Linked DNA regions of Alligator mississippiensis. The protein of the gene in region 2 interacts with the protein of the main gene of each other region in a biochemical or structural test. Links are inferred from orthologs where the notes say so. Each region holds a gene or a part of one and is shown on either strand. Other genes may lie near its edges.

What was found.
Region 1: the proteins of MYO18A (region 2) and GOLPH3 form a complex in vitro, tested with the Homo sapiens proteins (2 studies listed by IntAct). The link is inferred for Alligator mississippiensis from reciprocal best matches to the Homo sapiens genes MYO18A and GOLPH3.

What each region holds. Positions count from the first base shown.
Region 1 is NC_081826.1:281,531,072-281,540,760, reverse strand, and holds the start of GOLPH3 (Golgi phosphoprotein 3), read right to left. Parts: upstream 6,208-9,689; 5' UTR 6,077-6,207; coding exon 5,858-6,076; intron 1-5,857. UniProt on the Homo sapiens protein: Phosphatidylinositol-4-phosphate-binding protein that links Golgi membranes to the cytoskeleton and may participate in the tensile force required for vesicle budding from the Golgi.
Region 2 is NC_081837.1:1,346,956-1,356,644, reverse strand, and holds the start of MYO18A (unconventional myosin-XVIIIa), read left to right. Parts: upstream 1-4,562; 5' UTR 4,563-4,637; coding exon 4,638-5,669; intron 5,670-9,689.

The sequences.
Region 1 (9,689 bases), on a different chromosome or scaffold from region 2:
TCTAATTTAAATAGATTATGTTAAAGATATTCTTTCTATTAAATAGCCACTCTTTCTGGAAGCCTAACTATACCCATAATGGAAAGCTAATCAACAACAAGGGGACTGACTACAGTAATTAAACAACGTGGTCCTGAAACTCCACGTATGTTAGACACATGGGTGCATAAACAAACAGAAAAGCAGTGAGCAATGTTTTTAGGCAGAGCGCCCACAACACCTGCAACCTTGACTTGCAAAATGTTGGCATACCAGAGCGGACTGTGGGGGAACTGTGAGGGGCCCAATCCTTGTTGTAGTAGTACAGCCCTGGCCCCTTCCCCGAGACTTGCATGCCAGGCAGAATGCCTTTGCGAGCCATGCTCTGGCACACATGCTGGGATTCCTACCCCTAGAACAGAAGCACAAATTACTCTTCACTCACTTTTAAGCCCCTTTTCCATCTTCCATACAAGAGAGACTCTCTCCATTACAACACACCACAAAACTGCAATGAATTTGTACCTTGCATTTCACATGTAAGTATAGAACTAAAAGGCTATACAGCTACTAGAAAACTTTTCATACTCATTCAGTTAATTTTCACATCTTTAGCCATCATTCCTTCATGCCTATAGACTCAAGCTGCATTTAAAGCAGGTACCTCATAATGGACATTTATTTACAAGACTACTGGCACATTTAAGAATGTTCAAGGTGAGTAATATGTCTGTGTGATGCCTATTTTAATGAGGTATTTCCTTGGTCTCTAATCTCAGTATTGAATACATAAAAAGTTAACTGCATGAGAACATAAAGAAAAACTATAAAAAAGGAGTAACTCAAAATATATGAATTATTTTGTTATTAGCAGGGATCCAGGTTTTCTCCAATTTAAAAAAATCCCCAATTTGTGTTTTAAAACAAAGTAACCCCAGATCCACATTTTCTGTGATTTAAAATGAAACACCACTAATATATAGATTTATATATAGCGGTGTTTCATTTTCATCACTGAAAAATGTGGATCTGGGGTTACTTTGTTTTAAAACAAAAATTGGGGATTTTTTTAAATTGGAGAAAGCCAGGATCCCTGGTTATCAGGGATCAACAGATAATAAATTTGGTGGTGTTGTTATATATACTGCACAGACTAAATACAATTACTTGAGACCAAGTAGTAAAATAATGCACTCTTTGTTTCTGTAGAGGAACAAGTTTCAACATACTAAGGATAGCCCAGGTTTTGTAGAATAAACTGTATAGTGATTTCATGGGCTGAACAACAATTAAGGGCTTTTTATTTTAATGATTTAAAAACAGTAACAGCAAAAAAACTAACAAAACAATTGACATATTCCATTGTCCACAAAAGCCCAATAGCCGTCATCAGACATTGTCTTCTGAACCTTAAAGCTATTCCTTAGTTAAAATTTGAATACTAAATCCCCAATTACCAATAACTTTTGCTTGCTAGAAATATACAGCCTTTATGAGAATAGGTTCCTACAATTTAATACTGAATTATTTTGTTTATAGTTGATTTTATACCACTGTAATAAACTGAAGAGAGTATAACTAAAATTTCAAGCTGTCCATTTCAAATGATTTAAGTACTTTTCAGTACTAAATTTGCTCCTGAACTTCCCTGCCACTTTTTATGATTTCACAATCATACTTTACTACTTCTTAAAAAGTTTTTCTCTACCTTTCTTCTGAGAGAGGCCATTAGAAACAATGGGGAAAAATCAAACGTAATGTGAAAAAAAATTGAAACTGGCTCTACCTAGTGTACTTTCAAAGTATAAAATCAGTTAGTTGGAAAAGATTAATAAAAATAGCTATTGTTAATTAGGTGTTATCTGAGCAACAATAAGTACAACATTAAACATCTTCGAAAATATTTTTGAAGTTTTCAGTGTTCCTTTGAAGTTTTTAAAGCAGTATGAAGGCAAAAAGCTCCAAGTATTATGGAGACAAAGAGACACAAAATATCCCAAAACAAACACATACAACCCCATCACAAGCCTCGGTAACAGTACAGTACCCCTTATCCATGTCCCCTACCTTAGCCCATCTTTCTGTACGTCTTGTCTTATACTTGGTCAGAGAGCTTACATGTATATTTTCTTGTCTGTAAAGTGCTATTAAGACAGGGGCAGGCAAAATACAGTCCACAAGTTGGATCTGGCCTACCAAGGGATTCTGTCCAGCTCGCTGAGAGTCCCTCAGTCCCAGGCACAGAGGGCAGCCTGGGCCAGGATGCCCAACGATGCCAGACACACCCACCAAGGTAGTGGAGGCAGCTGCTGGCCTCTAAGCCAAAGCCCCAGCACCAAGGCAGCTGCTCCCACCCACCTGCCCCAGCAACTGGAGGGAGCACTGGTGCCCAGCACAGGCTGCAGGGCAGGTCCCATACCAGGCCCCTCGGGACAGGAGCCCAGCAGTGACCAGCTGCATTTGTGGAGATGCTGCTCCCTATTGCCCCTAGTGAGCAGTCTCCAGTGCAGCCCCTGCCCATCACTTGCCACCCAGTATGCCCCAGGCAGCCCTGCCCACACACACCCTCCCCACAGCCCAGGCCCTCCACTGCTCCCTACCTTGGAGCAAGTCTGCCACCTCCTGAGCCCCAACTCATTGCCAAGCTCCCACTTCCACTCTGCCCCTCGCTGCCAACCCCAACTCCTTCTAGCAACACCTGGGTCTGCAAATGGTGCCCACCTGCTCAGGTCTGTCTCCTGGCACCATTCAGACTGGGCTAGTGCTTGGCTCCGCACAATACCAGGGCCCATCTGCATCCGCATCCCAGCTGGGGCCCAGGACGGAGCCATGATCCACTGCCCGCACACCCCTGACCACAGAATTGGCTCCTGTTGCAGGTGTGCGCAGGCAGCAGATCATGGCTCTGCCTCAGGCCCCGGCCAGCATAGGGCTGAGGACAGACAGGGACCAGTAGCAGCAATGGGACAGGCATACAGGGCCAGAGCTGGGATCCTGAGCTAAGCGGTGGCAGCCCACGAAACCCAAACAGTAAGCAGTGGCTTTGCGGCTGACAGAACTGAGCACTGGGAGCTAAAGGGCCCCAGAGAGAGCAGAACGCAAGGGGCTCCCACCAGCGCTGCAATCCTGGCAGGGGCTCGGCTCTTTCTGCAGACACCCCGACTCTCAGCACAGAGCCGAGCATTAGCTCAGCCCGAATGGAGCCAGGAGAAAAACCAAAGCTGGCACCATTTGCAGCCCTGGGTATGGCTGGAAGGAGCCAGGGATGGCAAGAAAGGGCTGAGTGAAAGTGGAGCTTGGAAGCAGGTCAGGGCTTGGGAGCTGCTGCAAGGGTGGGGAGCAGCAGAGGGCCTGGGCCACAGGGAGGGAGAGCAGGGGCTGGGCAGGGCTGCGCAGGGCACATTGGGTGGCAAGTGCCAGGTGGAAGCCACACAACGGGAGACACACTGGAGATGATGTGCAGTAGGGGAGATAGGGAGCAGCAGGTCTGTGAATGGAGCTGGTCACTGCTGGGCTCCAGTCCCACAAACCCGGGGGTCTCCATGGAAACTGGGTAGCCCCATGCAGTCAGGGCACCTGGCCAGGTGGACAAGATGGGGCCACTTAGGGAGCTCTGGTGAGCTGCTGGGGGGTGGGGGGGAAGAGGGGACTCTGACCTAGTCTGCAACGGGCTCCCTGTGTGGCCCAGGGGCCCAAATAATTGCCCACCTCTTTATTAAGATCTGCATTACTAGATTTAACATTAAATATAGGCCTAATCTAAATAACTCTTCTACATAAAGCACTCAGATTATTGGGTATATGCAGCCTTTAAGAATCATTTAACTAAACTAATGTGATGCATGCCAGTACAAACAGGATTTCAGAAATGATTTCAATTAGTATTTTTTTTATATTCTGCAAACGCGTAAAATATGGTAAGTGTTATCCACATACAAAGGAAGACAGTCCCTACCACAAGAGTTTAAAGTCTAAGGAACCAACTCAGCAGACTGAAACACAAGCTTAACCTTACTTCACTGAGACCACTCAGGCCTGTAACATTACGAACATGTGCAAAAATGCTAAGGGCCACGCCACAAGGCCCCAATACTTGCCAAGAGTCAACAGGTTGATCCACATGCAAGTGTGAAGAGTCTACTAATTTTATTGGGACTTCATGCAGATGCAAATATCCATTCAAGGAGTCTGACGGCAAGAACGAGGCCTATCATAAGCCTCCAACAAGAAGTGGATACAGCAAAAAAAAAAAAAACCCAGAATGTCTATACACATGTTAAAGATAAAGAGTATCAACCAAGCTGCTCCTCAACCTACCCACCATTAGTTTGTTTACTACAGTATGGCTTAAATGAAGCCAAGCCAAACTCCTGAAAATCCAATCTCCCATTGATCTTGCTCATGAATGTGTATGATTTTGGGATGCCTTCCCACTCCAAACAAACACCCTAGATCACAGGTCAGGTTCCAGAGTGTGGCACATGAAGACATTTTGCTTGGCACGCCAGCCCTCAAGGCAGATGGCAGAGGAGTCACAAGGGGCCTGATCCTTGTGATAAATCAGCCCCGGCCCCTTCCCCACTGTCTGCCCCAAGGCCTCCACGCACCTGCTGCTGGCAAAAAGCTGGGCAGGGGCTCCAGGGACCCCAGTGCAGCTGCTTGCAGCCTCCTCACTGCCTGCTTCAAGAGCTTGGGCCCCATGGTGGGCAAAAGGGAAGCTGCAAGCAGCTGCACCAGGGTCTGCACTGGCTCGTTGCTGGCAGCGGGTACACAGGCACCTCAGGCCAGACAGCAGGGAGGGGGCCATGCCTGTACTAACACAAGAAGGATCGGGCCCCTTGCAGCTACCCTGGCAATCCAGCCCAGCACTTTACAAGTATATACTGTGGGGTTTTCGGCACTCTGCCCCAAAACATTACTGCCTCCTGCCTTAGAGCCTGCTTTGGGTACCAAGCTCAAGAAACGGAGCAACGCTTTTCATTTCTAGACAGCATTAAAACTGTTGCCTGAAGGAAAGACCTGCACCACTGTTTAACACACCTCCCCCTAATCAGGGCCCCTCCAGGAGACTGGGTTTCCTGCAGGATGCGAGACCCATGTACCTACACCCCTCCCTCCCAGGAGGGAGAAAAAAATAAAGTATGAAAAGAAAGTTAAAAAGGAGAAAAAGACATTTGCAGGCAGGGGATGGACACAGACCCTCTATCTTCAGCCCACCCCAATCAAATCACAACCGGGGCAAACAAAATAACGAACAAACAAGGTGTCGGGGAGAGGACAGACTGGGACACGACCTAGCTGGGTGGCTGTTTCAGACTCGAGTCCCCCTCAGAAACCACCAGCTTTGTTTTCGCTGCTTTTTCCACTGAAGGAAAAAAAACACCAGTCTGCAGAATAGGGGGGGGCAGGCCCAGGGAGAAGCAATCTCAGTGCTAACCTGGGGGCAGCTCCCCGGGGGTGTGGGATAAATCTCAGGGGTAACTTGGGGGGAGCTCCCCGGGGGGGGGTAAATCTCAGGGGTAACTTGGGGGGAGCTCCCGGGGGGGGGGGTAAATCTCAGGGGTAACCTGGCAGGGAGCTCCCCCAGGAGAGGGGGGAGGGGGGAAATCTCAGGGGTGCCCAGGTGGTGGTGGGGTAATCTCAGGAGTAATATGGGGGGAGGGGGGACTCTCAGGGGTAACTGGGGGGGAAGGGGGACTCTCAGGGGTAACTGGGGGGGAAGGGTATAATCTCACGGGTGCCGGGGGCAATCTCGGGCGTCTCAGCAGCGATCCCGGGGCCCCCCCCGACCCCCGGGCAGGACGGGCCCCGGTGGCGCCCCGAGCCGTTTCCCGAGGACCCCCCTCCCCGCGCCGGGCCGGGCCGGGCCGGGCCGCACCTCTCGGTCCTTGAGGCCCAGCAGCAGCACCTCCTCCATGAGCGTGAGCCGCGTCTCCTTGGAGTCGCCCTTCTCGTCGTCGCCCGGCTCGTCCCGGCGGCCCTCGTCCTCGGCGCCCGGCCCGGCCCCGCGCTCCTTGTCGGCGGCGGCGGCGGCGCTGCGGGAGGCCTCGGTGCGGCGCTGCACCAGGCCCGAGCTGCGCTGGGTGAGCGAAGTCATGGCGGCGGCGGCGGCGGCCGGGGGCGAGCGCTGGGCAGCGGCAGGGCGCCGCGGCGGCTCCGCTACGGGCCCCGGGGCAGCGGCGGGCCGGGGGGACGCATGGAGGGCGCGGGCCAGGCCGGCTCCCCCTGTGGCGGCGCCTCGTCCAATATGGCGGCGCGGGCTGATGTCAGCGGAGGATGTGGCAGCGCGGCCGGGGGGGGCCGGAAAGGGCCGCGGCCGCAGGCGCGGGGCAGCCCCGCCAGGGGGAGCGCCCGGGGGTCGGGGCAGGCTGCCTCGGAGCTGCGGCCGGCCTCCGCGGTTGGACACAAGCCTGCGGGACCACAGGGCACTCCTTCAAATACAGATGAAGTGCCCGACCCCTTCAAGAGAAAAATAGGGGGCATAAAGGCGTCTGGTTGCTCATCGATAGAGGACAGAGTCTCAGAAAACCAGGCTGTGCTGTGTGACGGCCACCCTCGACCGCCTGCGTCCCGCTCTGCACGGGGTGGCAGGGTTGACCCACCCCGTGGGAGTACGACCCAGCTGAGGGGAAGGTGGCGGACGCAGGGCCTAGCGGCGGCGGCGGAGAATCCCAAACAGTTTCTAGTGGCGCTAGGACAGGGCGACGCACACGGCTGCACGTGCGCCCCGGTGCGCGGCGCTGCACCCACCACAAAAAGGCACCGTGACACTGTGGGCAGCACCTGCAGGCGGTCGTGGCTTGCCACCGCTGGCGGCGTCTATGTGTGGTCCCCCACCCCTGGTCCCGCTCCCGCCGCCGGGGCCACGAGTCGTTCGTGCGCTACCAGAAGACCGTGTCGCCTGTTGCTAATCTAAGCTCAAATAGGTGTTCAACCCTTGCGTGGAAACGATAAATGTAACAGCACAGGGCTCGCAGGGAGCCGGCACAGCTCTTGTACTTCATCCCAAAGACATTTGCAAGTGCAGCTGCAAAAGGAGAGTGAGCCATTGGGATCTGCATGACATAGGCCACAGGATCTCTCTGAAGTAATTCCTGTTCAAACTACTATCTTCGTTAGACTCGCATCCGATCTCAATTTAAAAATGCCCGCGATAGCAAATCCGTCACAGTTTGGTAGCTTACTCCAGTGGTTAATTACCATTAAAACTTTGCACCTTCGTTTCTATTTTAATGTTGCGTCGCTTCAGATTCCAACAGTTGTTCCTGTTATACTTTATCAGGCCCTCTATTATCAAATTTCTGTTAGGAAAAGTACTTAGCTCTTGCATTCCTCACATAGGTGCAATACAAATACCCCTTGATCTTTCCTTTTTTAAAAGCTAACCAGTTAAAGCTCCTTGACTCTGTGAGGTACCTTTCTTAATCTTCTAATTTTTATGATTATTTTCTGAGCGTTGTCTACCTTAAATTATGAAAGAATTATTATTCCCACAACAAGGGCACCAGTGCCAAATACAGAAAGAATAGAACATCTCAACTCTTACTTGATCTTTCTCTTGTTTATACATCCAAGGATCACAGCAGCTCTTTTGGCCACTTTTTCCACACTGGATGTTCACGTTCAAGCTAATTATCTACCAGCATGGACACAAGTTCTTTTCATAGTTTCATAGTTGGTGGGGTTGGAAGGGACCTGAGCAGATCATCTAGTCCAACCCCCTGCCACGGGCAGGAAAGGATGCTGGGGTCAAACAACCCCAGCTAGGTGGTTGTCTAGCCTCCTTTTGAAGACCCCCAGGGTAGGGGCAAGCACCACTTCCCTTGGAAGTTGGTTCCAGCTCCTAGCTGCCCTGACTGTGAAGTAGCGCCTCGTGATATCTAGTCTGAATCTACTCTCAGCCAACTTATGGCCATTGTTCCTTGTTACTCCCGGTAATGCTCAGGGGAACAGGGACTCTCCCATTGCCTGCTGGTCCCCCCAGTAAGTTTATAGATGGCCACCAGATCCCCTCTCAACCGTCTCTTGTAGAGGCTGAACAGGTTTAGGTCTCATAGCCTTTCCACATAGAGCCTGCCCTGCTGTCCTCTAATCATGCAAGTGACCCTCCTCTGGACCCTCTCCATGTTGTCCACATCCCTCCTGAAGTGCGGCGCTCAAAACTGGACGCAGTACTCCAACTGTGGCCTGACCAATGTCGCACAGAGGGGGAGGATCACCTCCTTGGACCTGCTCGTGATGCATCTGTGGATGCATGACAAGGTGCAGTTAGCCTTCCTGACCACGTCCCCACATTGGCGGCCCGTGTTCATCCACGAATCAATAGTGACACCAGGATCCTTCTCTGCCTCTGTGCTGACAAGAAGGGAGTTCCCCAGCCTGTAGGTATGCTGCTGGTTCTTCCTCCCCAGGTGCAATACCTTGCACTTGTCCGTATTGAAACCCATCCTATTCTCATCCGCCCACCTCTGTAACCTGTCAAGATCTAGTTGTAGCCTGTCCCTCTCTTCTAGTGTGCTCACTTCTCCCCACATCTTAGTGTCATCTGCGAACTTGAACAAGGTGCTTTTCACCCCCTCGTCCAAATTGCCAATGAAGATGTGGAACAGTGCGGGCCCAAGGACCAAGCCCTGGGGAACCCTGCTGCCCACATCTCTCCAGGTCGAAAATGACCCGTCCACCACCACTCTCTGGGTGCGGCTCTCCAGCCAATTTGCGACCCATCTGACTGTGTAGTTGTTGACACCACAGACGCCTAATTTTTTAATGAGGGTGGGGTGAGAGACAGTGTCGAAGGCCTTCCCAAAGTCCAGGAAGACTACGTCCACTGCAACACCTGCGTCCAAGGCTTTTGTGACTTGGTCATAGAAGGCCACCAGGTTGGTCTGACAAGGACCTGCCCTAATGAACCGGTGTTGGTTGCCCCTGCTGGCCCGTCCAAGAGATGTGCGCCTGGATAAGAGTCACTGTTCAGAGTTTCTTAGGATAGACGCCTCTATCCTGTAGCATAACTTACATTTCTAGACATACAACTTTGTATTTGCTCATATTACATATTGTTAGGGACCTACTGAAATCGAGGAAGCAGGTGGCCTATTTCATGGGCCTATCACAAGATAAGTCCTTTATTATTATTTCACAGACAGTGCCCAAAATCATGAATTGAGCAGGTGTCTACAGGTTGTTGCTTGTACTCAGTTTACCAAGTGAGCTAGATCCTTCTATCAGTGACTGTTCCTCTTCATTTTCCACTCTGCCAGTTGTGTAATAATATCAGTCATTTGTATTTGATAGTTTCCTCCAGAGCCATGAAGAAATTATAAATCAGAGAGAGCTAGGAACTGATGCCAGTGGCACCTCATTAGAAACAACCCACTCACTGACTTTTCCCTGTTTTTAATTCATTTTATATATGCATGTTGCTTTTTTAAATCAACTTAATCAAAATATCATTCAGTATCTAGTTAAATATCTTTCAGCAGTCTTTTAGTTTTATCAACCAATCTTATAATCATCAAAAATATATCAGGTTAGTTTGACAGAATATATTTTCTATAAACTTGGAAAATAAACTTGGCATTGTATTACCCTCCTCTAAACCTTTAGGGCATTTTTACACATGCTCTGGGGTTAGGGGAAGGCACTTTAATTAGAGCCATCTAATCAAAGTGCCTGCAACATCTCATGTAGCAGCGTCCCCACACTTCAAA
Region 2 (9,689 bases):
GGAGCGGAGCGGAGGGGCCCGGCGGGATCGGGATCGGGATCGGGATCGGGGCCGGGCCCAGGCAGCCGCTCCGCTGCGCTCCGCCCCGGCCGGGCCGCTCCGCTCCGCCCCTGCGTGCGGCGTGCGGCGGGGCGGTGCGGTGCGGTGCGGGCGGTGCGCCCCGGCGGCGGCTCCGCGCCTGTGCGAGCGCGGGGCTGCGGGCGCTGCGTGCGGGGCGGTGCGGGGCCCGCAGGCCCGAGCGGAGCGGAGCGGTGAGTGCGGCGGGGCGGGGCGGGGCGGCGCGGGGCCGTGGGAAGCGGGCGGGGGGCGCTCCCACGGCCCGGCCCGGCCCGGCCGCGCTGCAGCCCCCGAGCCCCGCGCCGGCCCGGACCTGCGTGGGGCGGCGCCGGGGCAGGTGGGCACCTCCGCGCCCCGCCCCGCCCCGCCCCGCCCCGCAGCAGGGGCCCGCCGAGCCCGTGCGGGACTTCCCTGCGCCGCTCTGCCCAGGCCCGGCCGCGCCAAGGGCTCGGCGGCCCGGCCTGGTGCGGGAGAGGCGGGGGCGGACCCGCGTGGGAATGCCGGCCGGCCGGCCCGGCCCGCGTGCTGTGCACGCACGCACGGGTGCCAGCCCCCGGGGCTCCGCCACTTGTTTGCCCCGGCTCGAGCCTGTTGCCAGCCCGTGTCCGTGCCCGCGAAGCCTTGGGCACCGTAGCCAAGGGGGTGCTCCCCGGGGCGAAGGTCACCGCCTGCCCGTGGCCACCAGCCTTCGGCTGCGTTGCTCAAGAGCAGCTTCCCGGCCGCGCCGGGCTGGGCCAGGTGGGGCGCGCCAGGGCTACCGAGCGCAGCGTGCCAGCTGGCTCTTGCCAGGCTGAACGGGGCAGCCCGTGCGGGGGGAGCAGGGGGCGAGGCAGCCCCCGGGAATGGGAACGCAGGTGCTGCTGCCGTCCCGGAGCCACGCGTTGCTGCACCAGGTGTGCAGGGTGCTTGGGTGGTGGGAGGCCTCACGGGTGCAGGGGCTGCCACATTCCCCCCATGTCCCTGGCCCCGCAGCGGGCCCGGCTGCCTTTTCCCAGGCTCCAGGTGAGAGCCGGGGCCTGCTGTCCCCTCCTCTCTGCTAGCGCTGTGCAATCGCGCCCGTCCTGCCCGGCTGCTCCGGATACGCCTCGGAGCCGGTGAGCACCACGTGACAGCAGGGTGAGGCAGGGAGAGGCGCTGGGTGCTGGGAGCGCTTGGCTCCAGCCAAAGACAGTCTCTCCAGTCCGCAGGCTCGGCAAGAGCGCTGGGGACAACGTCTCCTGGAGGTAGGCTTTTCTTGTGGCTGTGACACAGTTTCCCCAGGGAGTCGGGGCTCCCGCGCAGCCCTGGGCGTAGGTACTTCCAGCCAGCTGCTTTGCAGGGGACGCTTAGCCCGTGGCCTGGTGACAGCTCTCTGGGAGCCCTGGTGCTGTGCCCTTGCCTGGCAGTGCAGCTGGATGCTGTGGCATCCTAGAGGCCTGTGGCCTGGTGCGTGCCGTGGTCCTGGCCGGCCGCCCCTCCCTTCTGTGGCCCTGCGTGGGGTGGGCACGGGTTCCCCCCGTGCTGTGCGGTGTCTGTCCGCACACCCGCCTGGCAGCGAGCCTGGGCTCCTCCTGCACCTGCCGCTCGCTGCCCTGGTATAGAAAAGGGCTGGCTCTGGGGTGGGAGTGTGTGGCCTGTGCTGTTAATTGGCGTGTCTGGCTGATTAGCCATGCAGATGGCAGCGCTTGCTCTCCCCTGCTGCCGGGGACACAAAGGGATGGAGCGTGCGCGGGAGAGGCCTGTCCTGCCAGCATCCCGGTCCATCTGTGCCCCCTGCACGGGGGAAACCTGGCTCCTGGAGGGCCGGTGGTGCCCCTGACTGCTGTCCGCGGTTTGTGGGGCAGGAGCTGGGCCGCCCTGGGTCGAGACCCCAGCTTCCCTGCTGTTCCCTTGCAGCTCGTGCCCTATCTGGCCTAGGATGGGTGTCTCCTTGGTGAGGGCAAGGCCTGAACCCTTTGGGCCCATGGAGGGGCAGTGCCTTGTGCTGGGCTCAGGCCCGGGTTCATTGCGGTCGTGCCCGGGGGCATTGAGGCACCCGGCGAGAGGGCAGAGAAGTGGGCAGCGGTCGGCACTGGCAGAGAGGGCCTGTGCCATCCAGGCACTGCGGCACATCCACCAGCCCCTGGCCTGCTGCAGCAGGGTCCCGGGTGGGAGACGTGGGGCGGCTCAGCATCTCGTTATCCCCCCGGCAGCGGGCGCTGGTTGCAGCGAGGGCCGCACGTGCCCGGCACAGTTGTTGCCTCCGCCTGTTTGGAGGCCTGGCAGTTTCCCTGCCTGCGGAGCACCAGGGGCCTGCCCTGCCCGAGTCCCACGGCCCTGACTGGGATAAGGAGGGGGAGGAACGCAGGGCAGCTGCTGGGGCAAGGCTGGCAGGGCACGGGCTGGGAGCCAGGAGCTGCAGCAAAGCTGGGGCTGGTGTGGACGTGTGTGGGCCTTGCCGAGTGCTTCCTGCTCCGGCCTCGGGCTGGGCCAAGGGGAGTGTCCTGCTGCTGAGCACGTCCCCGGGGAGGAGCCGGCTGCAGGCGGGTGGCAGGGTGCACCTGGCCGTATGGGAGAGGCCAGCAGCAGTGCCGGCTGCAAAGCAGGCTGGGAAAGGGCACAGGTACACGCGTGCAAGGGACCGGTGCCCGGCACCGCTGCTTCCGTCCCTGCCTCTCCGGGCAGGTCAGTGCCCATCCCTCCGCAGGGACAGTCCTGGCCTGGGGGCTGGGAGCGAAGGACGGTGGCGTGGGCATGCCCCAGGAAGCGGCAGCGTGGCCCAGGCTGCTCCAGTCGCAGCGAGATGGGGCTTAGCGCCCGCGGCGCAGCTCTGACTTGCTGCGGTGCAGACTCACGGCAGCTCCTGCGGAGTAGCGGGTGCCCAGCAGGAGCCTCCATGGGGACCTGATTGTTGGCCCAGGCCTGCAGCCGTTGCGCCCAGTCTCCTCCTGCCAGCAGCCAGGCCCGGGTGCCCTGGGTCCCGTCGGCGGGTGCACAGCTGGCAGCGAAACCGGGTGCCAGGAGCTCCTGGCAGGGGAGCAGGTTTTTCTCCTGACTCAGGTTCCCACCTCCCCGCCCACGTGCTCCCTGCCCGGGAGGGAGTCGCCTGCGTGCGGCACAGCCCGCGTCTGCCGGGCCTGGGGGAGCAGGTAGGAGCCGGCGGATCTGACACCCGTAGCGCTCTGCTCCCTCCGGGCCTTGGGAGCCAGAGGGAAATAGGCCCGGTGCAGCGGAGGAGCAGGCAGCCAGGCACCTGGGATCTGCGGGCTCTGCCCCTTCCCCCTCTGGGCCTCAGCGTGTCCATCTGCAGAATGGACGCAAGCGGTGCTGTGTGCATGAGCAGGACAAGCCGCTGCCCTGCCCTGCATCCGGAGATGGTGCCGTTGCTCCCGGCTCTCCTGCCCTTTCCGCTGGGCCGTCGCTGACCTCTGCTTCCCAGGGCTCTCGCTCAGGGCGGGTGCACGGCACGTGGCCTCTGAAAGGGCCCTGGGCTGAGAGCCAGCAGCACCGCTCCCGAGCACTTCCCTGCCTGTCCCGGGCACTGTGGGCTGGAGCAGCCTGGCTTCCTGCGAGTTACATGCAGCCGGGGTCCTGCCAGGGCCTCCATCCGGGTTGTGACTTGTTTGTGGAAGCAAACGGTCCCGCGGAGCCGCCTGGCGCCTCTGCCGCAGGGCGGGCCCGGGGAGCTGCTGCCCAGCCGGTGCCCATGCTCGGGGGTCTGCGTCCTGTCTTGGTGCCTCCAGCCCATCCGCTTGCCTCGCATGTGCGAGGTCCTGGGGGCACCGGCACATGCCGTCCCTCGTGGCCTGGCCAGGAGCTGTGTAGCGGAGGCAGGTGGGGATGTGTCCCTGGCCAGGTCTTTTGCCCCGTTGCTGGGATGGGCACGGGGATGTGGCTGCCTGCCTCTCCCCCCGCCTCCCTCCAGACTGGGGCGGCCCCGGGATGAAAGAGCCACTGTTCTGGAGGTCACTCGGGGCGTCACGGGTTCTGCGCGGCTCCAGCTAATTTTAGCCGCCCTGCAGCGTCGTGCTTTCCCAGGGTCCCACCACTTGCTGTCCTAATGACGGTGATTGCTGGCCGGGGTCCCGCGCTCCTCCCTGCTGCCCTGCGCCCACCCGCCCTTTTCCCAGGGGCAAGCGCGGAGGCACCATGGGGCCAGACCAGGCCCTGACAGAGGCCTCTGTTCCCTGGAACAAGGAGCTTTTTGAGCAAGTGGGCGCGAGACCCTTGCTGCAGGGCCTCGCCATGGCTCTGCAGGGCGCCCGTGCAGCCGGGAGCGCGAGGATGTGCTGGGCGAGACCTGCGCCCCGACGTAGCAGCAGGGCCGGGCAGCACTTCCATCGGAGGCTGCATAATCCTGCTCCGGCGCTTGCTCGGGGTGGCCGTGAGGGGGTCATTTGCTGGGATCCATCCTGGACGGGCCTCACTTGTGGGTGGGTGCCCGAGCTGGTAGCTCCAGGTTGCTGGTTCTGGCTCCGGGAGAGGCCGGGGGTGTCCGTCTGTCCGTCCATTGCTAACCCGGGGTCTCCCGCATGTCTCTTGCAGAGCCCCAGTGGCACGGGAGCTGCCATCCGCCTCCTGCCGCGTGGAGCCGCGCGCTCCCCGGGTGCCGCCCCGCAGCCATGTTCAACCTGATGAAGAAGGACAAGGAGAGGGATGGGTCGCGCAAGGAGAAGAAGGACAAGAAGGAGAAGAAGGAGCGGATGTCGGCGGCCGAGCTGCGGAGCCTGGAAGAGATGAGCCTGCGCCGCGGCTTCTTCAACCTCAACCGGGGCTCCAAGCGGGAGTCGCGGGCGCGCCTGGAGATCTCCCACCCCATCCCCATCAAGGTGGCCAGCGGCTCCGACTTGCACCTCACCGACATCGAGGCCGACGGGCACCGCGGCAGCGTGGTGCTGGACTCGGGCCAGCTCAGCACGGCCAGCTCCAGCGACGACCTCAAGGTGGACGATGGCAACTTCAAGGGCTCGGTGCTGCAGCGGGCCGCCAAGTTCGGCTCGCTGGCCAAGCAGAACTCGCAGATGATCGTCAAGCGCTTCTCCTTTTCCCAGCGGAGCCGCGACGAGAGCGCGTCCGAGACCTCCACGCCCTCCGAGCACTCGGCCGCCCCCTCCCCGCAGGTGGAGGCCCGGACGCTGGAGATGCAGCTGGCCAAGCAGGGCGCGCCCCCGGGCCACCCGCGGCCCCCGTCCTCCTCCTCCTCCTCCTCCTCCTTGGCCCCGCGCTCCCGGGTGCCCGAGCTCGTTGGCAAGCGGTTCGCGGCCGAGCTGCGGCTGCCGGCCGTGGTGCCCCCCCAGCCCGCGGCGCCCCGGGAGCTGGAGCTGCAGCGGCGCAACACGGGCGACTTCGGCTTCTCGTTGCGCCGCACCACCCTGCTGGACCGGGCGCCCGACGGGCAGGTGTACCGGCGCGTGGTGCACTTCGCCGAGCCGGGCGCCGGCACCAAGGACCTGGCGCTGGGGCTGGTGCCGGGCGACCGGCTGGTGGAGATCAACGGCCGCAATGTGGAGAGCAAGTCCCGGGACGAGATCGTGGAGATGATCCGGCAGTCGGGCGACACGGTGCGGCTGAAGGTGCAGCCTATCCTGGAGCTGAGCGAGCTGAGCTGCTGCTGGCTGCGGGGCAGCGCGGGGCCGCGCAGAGCCGCTGTCGACGTGAGTACCCGCCGTGCCCGTGCCCGGCCGCGCGCCCAGCCTGAGCCCCGCGAGCTCCGTCACCGGCGGTGGGGGGGGCTGTGGGTGACGAGGGCACAGCCGCAACCAGAGGGAGGGTTCGCGGGGCCGGTTTGGAAGCCGTGCCCGGGGCTGGCGCTGCCGGCAGCGTGGTCGCTCGCTCCGGCTGCTGGTGAACTCGTGCGTCTGCTTGGGGCCTTCTGGGTCTCTCCCGTGGAAAGTGGGATTTAGAGACCCAAAGCCTGGGTAGGGGCAGACTTCATCTTTTCCCTGGCGCAGCAGTGCCCGAGGTGCATTCGGGAGACCTGGGGTGCGTATCCTCTGGGTGCAGGGTCCCCGGTGTGACCCGGCTTGCCCTGGACGGGTGGTGGGAGGCTCGCCGGAGTTTCAGGAGCTGGTTTGTGGCTGTGAGCCGGAGCGCGTCTGCAGCTGCAGACACCCGGGGCCTGACCGGCGGGGTCCCGGCGGGCCGGCCGGCCTGGCTCAGGGTCTGCAGCCTCCAGCTGCAAAACCATCTGTGCAAATGTCTGTGTGCATGCATCTGTGTGGGCCTGTGCAGTGCCTGCAGCCCCATGCACGTCCCCAAGCCCGTCTGTGGGGCATATCTGTCTGACGCCATCCAGTCCCGCTGTGCAAGGGGCTCGACTCCCTGGTGCTGGAGCCGTCTGGGAGGTGGGGTGCCGGGCGCTCCCTTTGTGAGCCCAGCACGGCCTGGCTGGGTCAGGCCGGAGACCCGTGGGGGCTGCCAAGGCCAGGGAGCTGCCGTCCCCGCTACTTATCTGCTGGCAAGGCTGAGGCAGCCCCATGCTCTTCCCCCCCGGCTCGTACGTCCCAGCGCCTGTGCACCCGTGCATTGGTGCCAGTGGAGCTGGTGCTGGCGGGTGCAATGAGGTGGCACAAACTGGCCCCCCGCCGTGCCGGCCCCGGGGGAGGGCAGGGCTAGGAGCTCCGAGTCAGGGGCCAGGATGCCCTGATGAGGACGGTGCCTGCGGGCACCGGCTCACCCGCATGCACCTCTGCAGCCGGGCCATGCACCCGCTCTCGGGGGCAGGTGGCTGTGCCAGGGCAGCGAGGGGCTTTGGGCCACGGGTGCTGGTGCAGAGCCCTGGAGGGACGCGCGCGGTGTCCGCGTGCAGCTGTCGGTGGAGGGCCCCGTCCCTCCTGCCGCGTGGGGCCCGGAGCAGCATGGGGCTCCCCGCGTGCTCCGCCTTGGCGCCTGGCTGGCTCGCACACTGCCCCGGGGCCCGGGAGAGCCTGGGGTGCTGCGCCCGCCCCGGGGCTTGGCGGGGCCTGCAGGCCTGTGGCAGCTCCGCCCCGGCTCCCCCGGCCCCGCCAGGCTCCCTGGAATGTTTCTGTTCCTAATTTAAATTAAAACGCTGCTTTTTCTGTGTCGAGCAGGAAATGATCTACATATTTTGGGCGCTTGCTTTGGAAACCCCTCCTCAGCGCGGAGCGGCGGGGGGGGAACTTGTCGCTGTGCGTGCGGGGCCAAGCGTGGCTCCTACAGTGAAGACCCTGCGGCCACCTGCTCATCCCAGGCCAGCACCAGCCGGTGGGCATGGGGCACACGAGGGCAGTGCCGCTGTGGTGCAGGTGTGCAGGCCGTGCGGTGCTTGGGTCACTGCGTGGTGGGGTGGGGTGTGCGCGCTCTGTTTCATCCAGCGCTGGCAAGGCAGGAGCCGCTTGGGAGCCCCCGGGAATCCTCCCCAAGGTGCCCGTGGTCTGGGCAGCATCACCATGCCAGGCCGGGCCCAGCGTGGCCCCCGTGCCGGGTGTCGGGGGTCCATCCTGCATCAAACCAGCTGGGCCCGTGGCACCGAGGCAGGATGCGTGGCCTTGACCGGTCACGGGCAGCCTGCTCCCTGCCACCTGGCCCTGAGCTGCCTCGGGACGTGGCAGGGGGGCGCCTGGATGGGTCACCCCCACCCCACCTCGTCTCCGGCTTCGGGGCAGGTGGACGGGTCTGCCTGGCGCCCGGAGTGGCAGCGTCTCCGGCGCTGAGGGCGGCCACGCTGGAGCCACTCGGGGCCGTGGCCGCGGGACCTTGCCATGGCAGCGAGGCCGAGGCCCTGGCCCAGCCGGGCTGGCTCCGCTCCAGGCCTGCGAGGGTTTGTTTACCAGGGACATTCCTCTGGCCGGACCCGGCGTGCGCAGGCCTGCTCCGGCCGGCCGAGGCATGCCAGAAACGCGCCGCGCCGCTCCAGACCACAGCTATGCCGCGCTCGGGCCAGCAAGACCCCGCGCGACCCCGTGCGCCCTTTGGCCCAACCTGGCCCTTTCGCCCGGGGAGGTGTCGGGGTGCCCTGCGGAGGGCGGGCGGCTGCAGAGCTCAGGGCTTGGCACGCGGGTGCTTGCTGGGTGCTGCAGCCGCTAAGATCCCAGAGCGGGGCCGGAGGTGGGGTCCTCTGCCCGGGAGCAGCAGGCCCGGGGCGGGAGCCGGCGCGTGTCAGGCCAGGGAAGGTGCAGCCACGGCCTCTCGCTGGGGCTGGGGGAGGAATGAGAGGAATCTGCTGGTGGAGCAGAAATGCTTGCTGCGAGCCGAGAGCAGGGTCCAGCCGGCGAGTGCCGCATTCCTGAGCCCCGGGCAGGGAGCAGGGACCCCCGGGGGCATGGAAAGGGCCAGGCGCTGCCCTTCCTGGGTGCGCCGGCGCCAGGGCCCAGCAGCTTCCGGCAGCCCCAGGGCTGCTCTGCCTGCCTGGGCATCGCTCGCCTCCCCCAGCTGCTCCGCAGCGCTGGGGGCAAGGAGAGCGGCTGCGCCCGGCGTGAAGGTCAGGGAGCAATCGTGCCAGCGCCTGCCTCCTGGGCTCCGGCACCAGCTGCGGGGCTGAGCTGGCGGCCGGTGGCAGGGGGTGGTGGGACCCTCTCTGCCTGTGCACCGGACCCCGCAGCAGCTCTGCCCCACTCTGGGTTTCGCCACCCGCGGTGCTCCCCGCCCTGCAGCCCAGGGCGCATCCAGCTCTGCAGACTCATGCCGGTATCGGTGGGGCGGGCGGCACCGGCATCCTCGCCCGCGCCTGCCCTCCTCCCGGCGCCCCAGGCTGCAGCCGGGCTGGATTCCTGCGCCGTGCATCACGCCCCGTCTGTGGGGCGGCGAAGCCGGTGCCCTGCCCCTGGGTGTGCCGCACGGCTCCTCCGTGGGGCTGGCACCCAGCCGTGCCACGTCTGGGCTGGGAGCAGGGGCCAGCGTGGCCCCGGCATGGGGCAGTGAGCGGGGGGTCTCGGCGTGGCTTCGTGCTTCGCCTGGCGGTGCTGGTCTGCAAAGGGTGCGTGCCCGGGGCGTGGAGCAGGCTGGGCTCGAGCGCCCGGGTGGTCACGGGGCCTGGCTCCAGAGCTCTGTCCGGCTTCCTGCCGTGCTCCTGGCTATTGTGCGCCTGGCCCCCGGCAGCCTGCACGCTGCTCCGCAGACCTTTGCCCTCTTCCCCGTTTCCAGGAAGCAGGGAGGGCTGGAGCGTGGCCTGTGCTAACGAGCTGCGCCGGCTCCGTCCCCAGGGGCCGCGTAGGAATCTGCCTGTGTGTTGTCTCGTGTCCTGGCGGGGCTGGAGCGGGCGGCCAGGGCCCCCTGCCTTGGCTGGGGTCCACGGGCGTGCGCACGGGGATGTGCCCTGTGGGACTGCTTTGGGGGAAACTGGGGCAGCAGGGGCGGGAGTCGGGGGCTGGGGGCCGCCTGGGAGTGGGCAGAGCCCCACGCTGGGTCGTCGGCAGGTCTTGCGGCTCCTCTGACCGCGTGGCCCCCGGGGGCCCGTGACCTTTGGGCGCTTCTGCAGGCGGCCAGGGATGCTCGTGCACTTGCGCACCCCCTCGGGCACCGGTGCTCCTGGCGCGTGCCCGCGCGGGGTCACGGGACACGGCTGTTCCCGTAAGCGCCGGAGGGAGCGTGCGGGCTGCGCTCTGGCCCTGGGCCAGCCGCACAAGAGCCTCTTCCCGTCAGGTCTGACCCGGAGCCATCGCTGGGAGCGTGGAGCTAGCGCCAGCCCAGCCACGGCTCCAGCTCCTGCTCCGAGG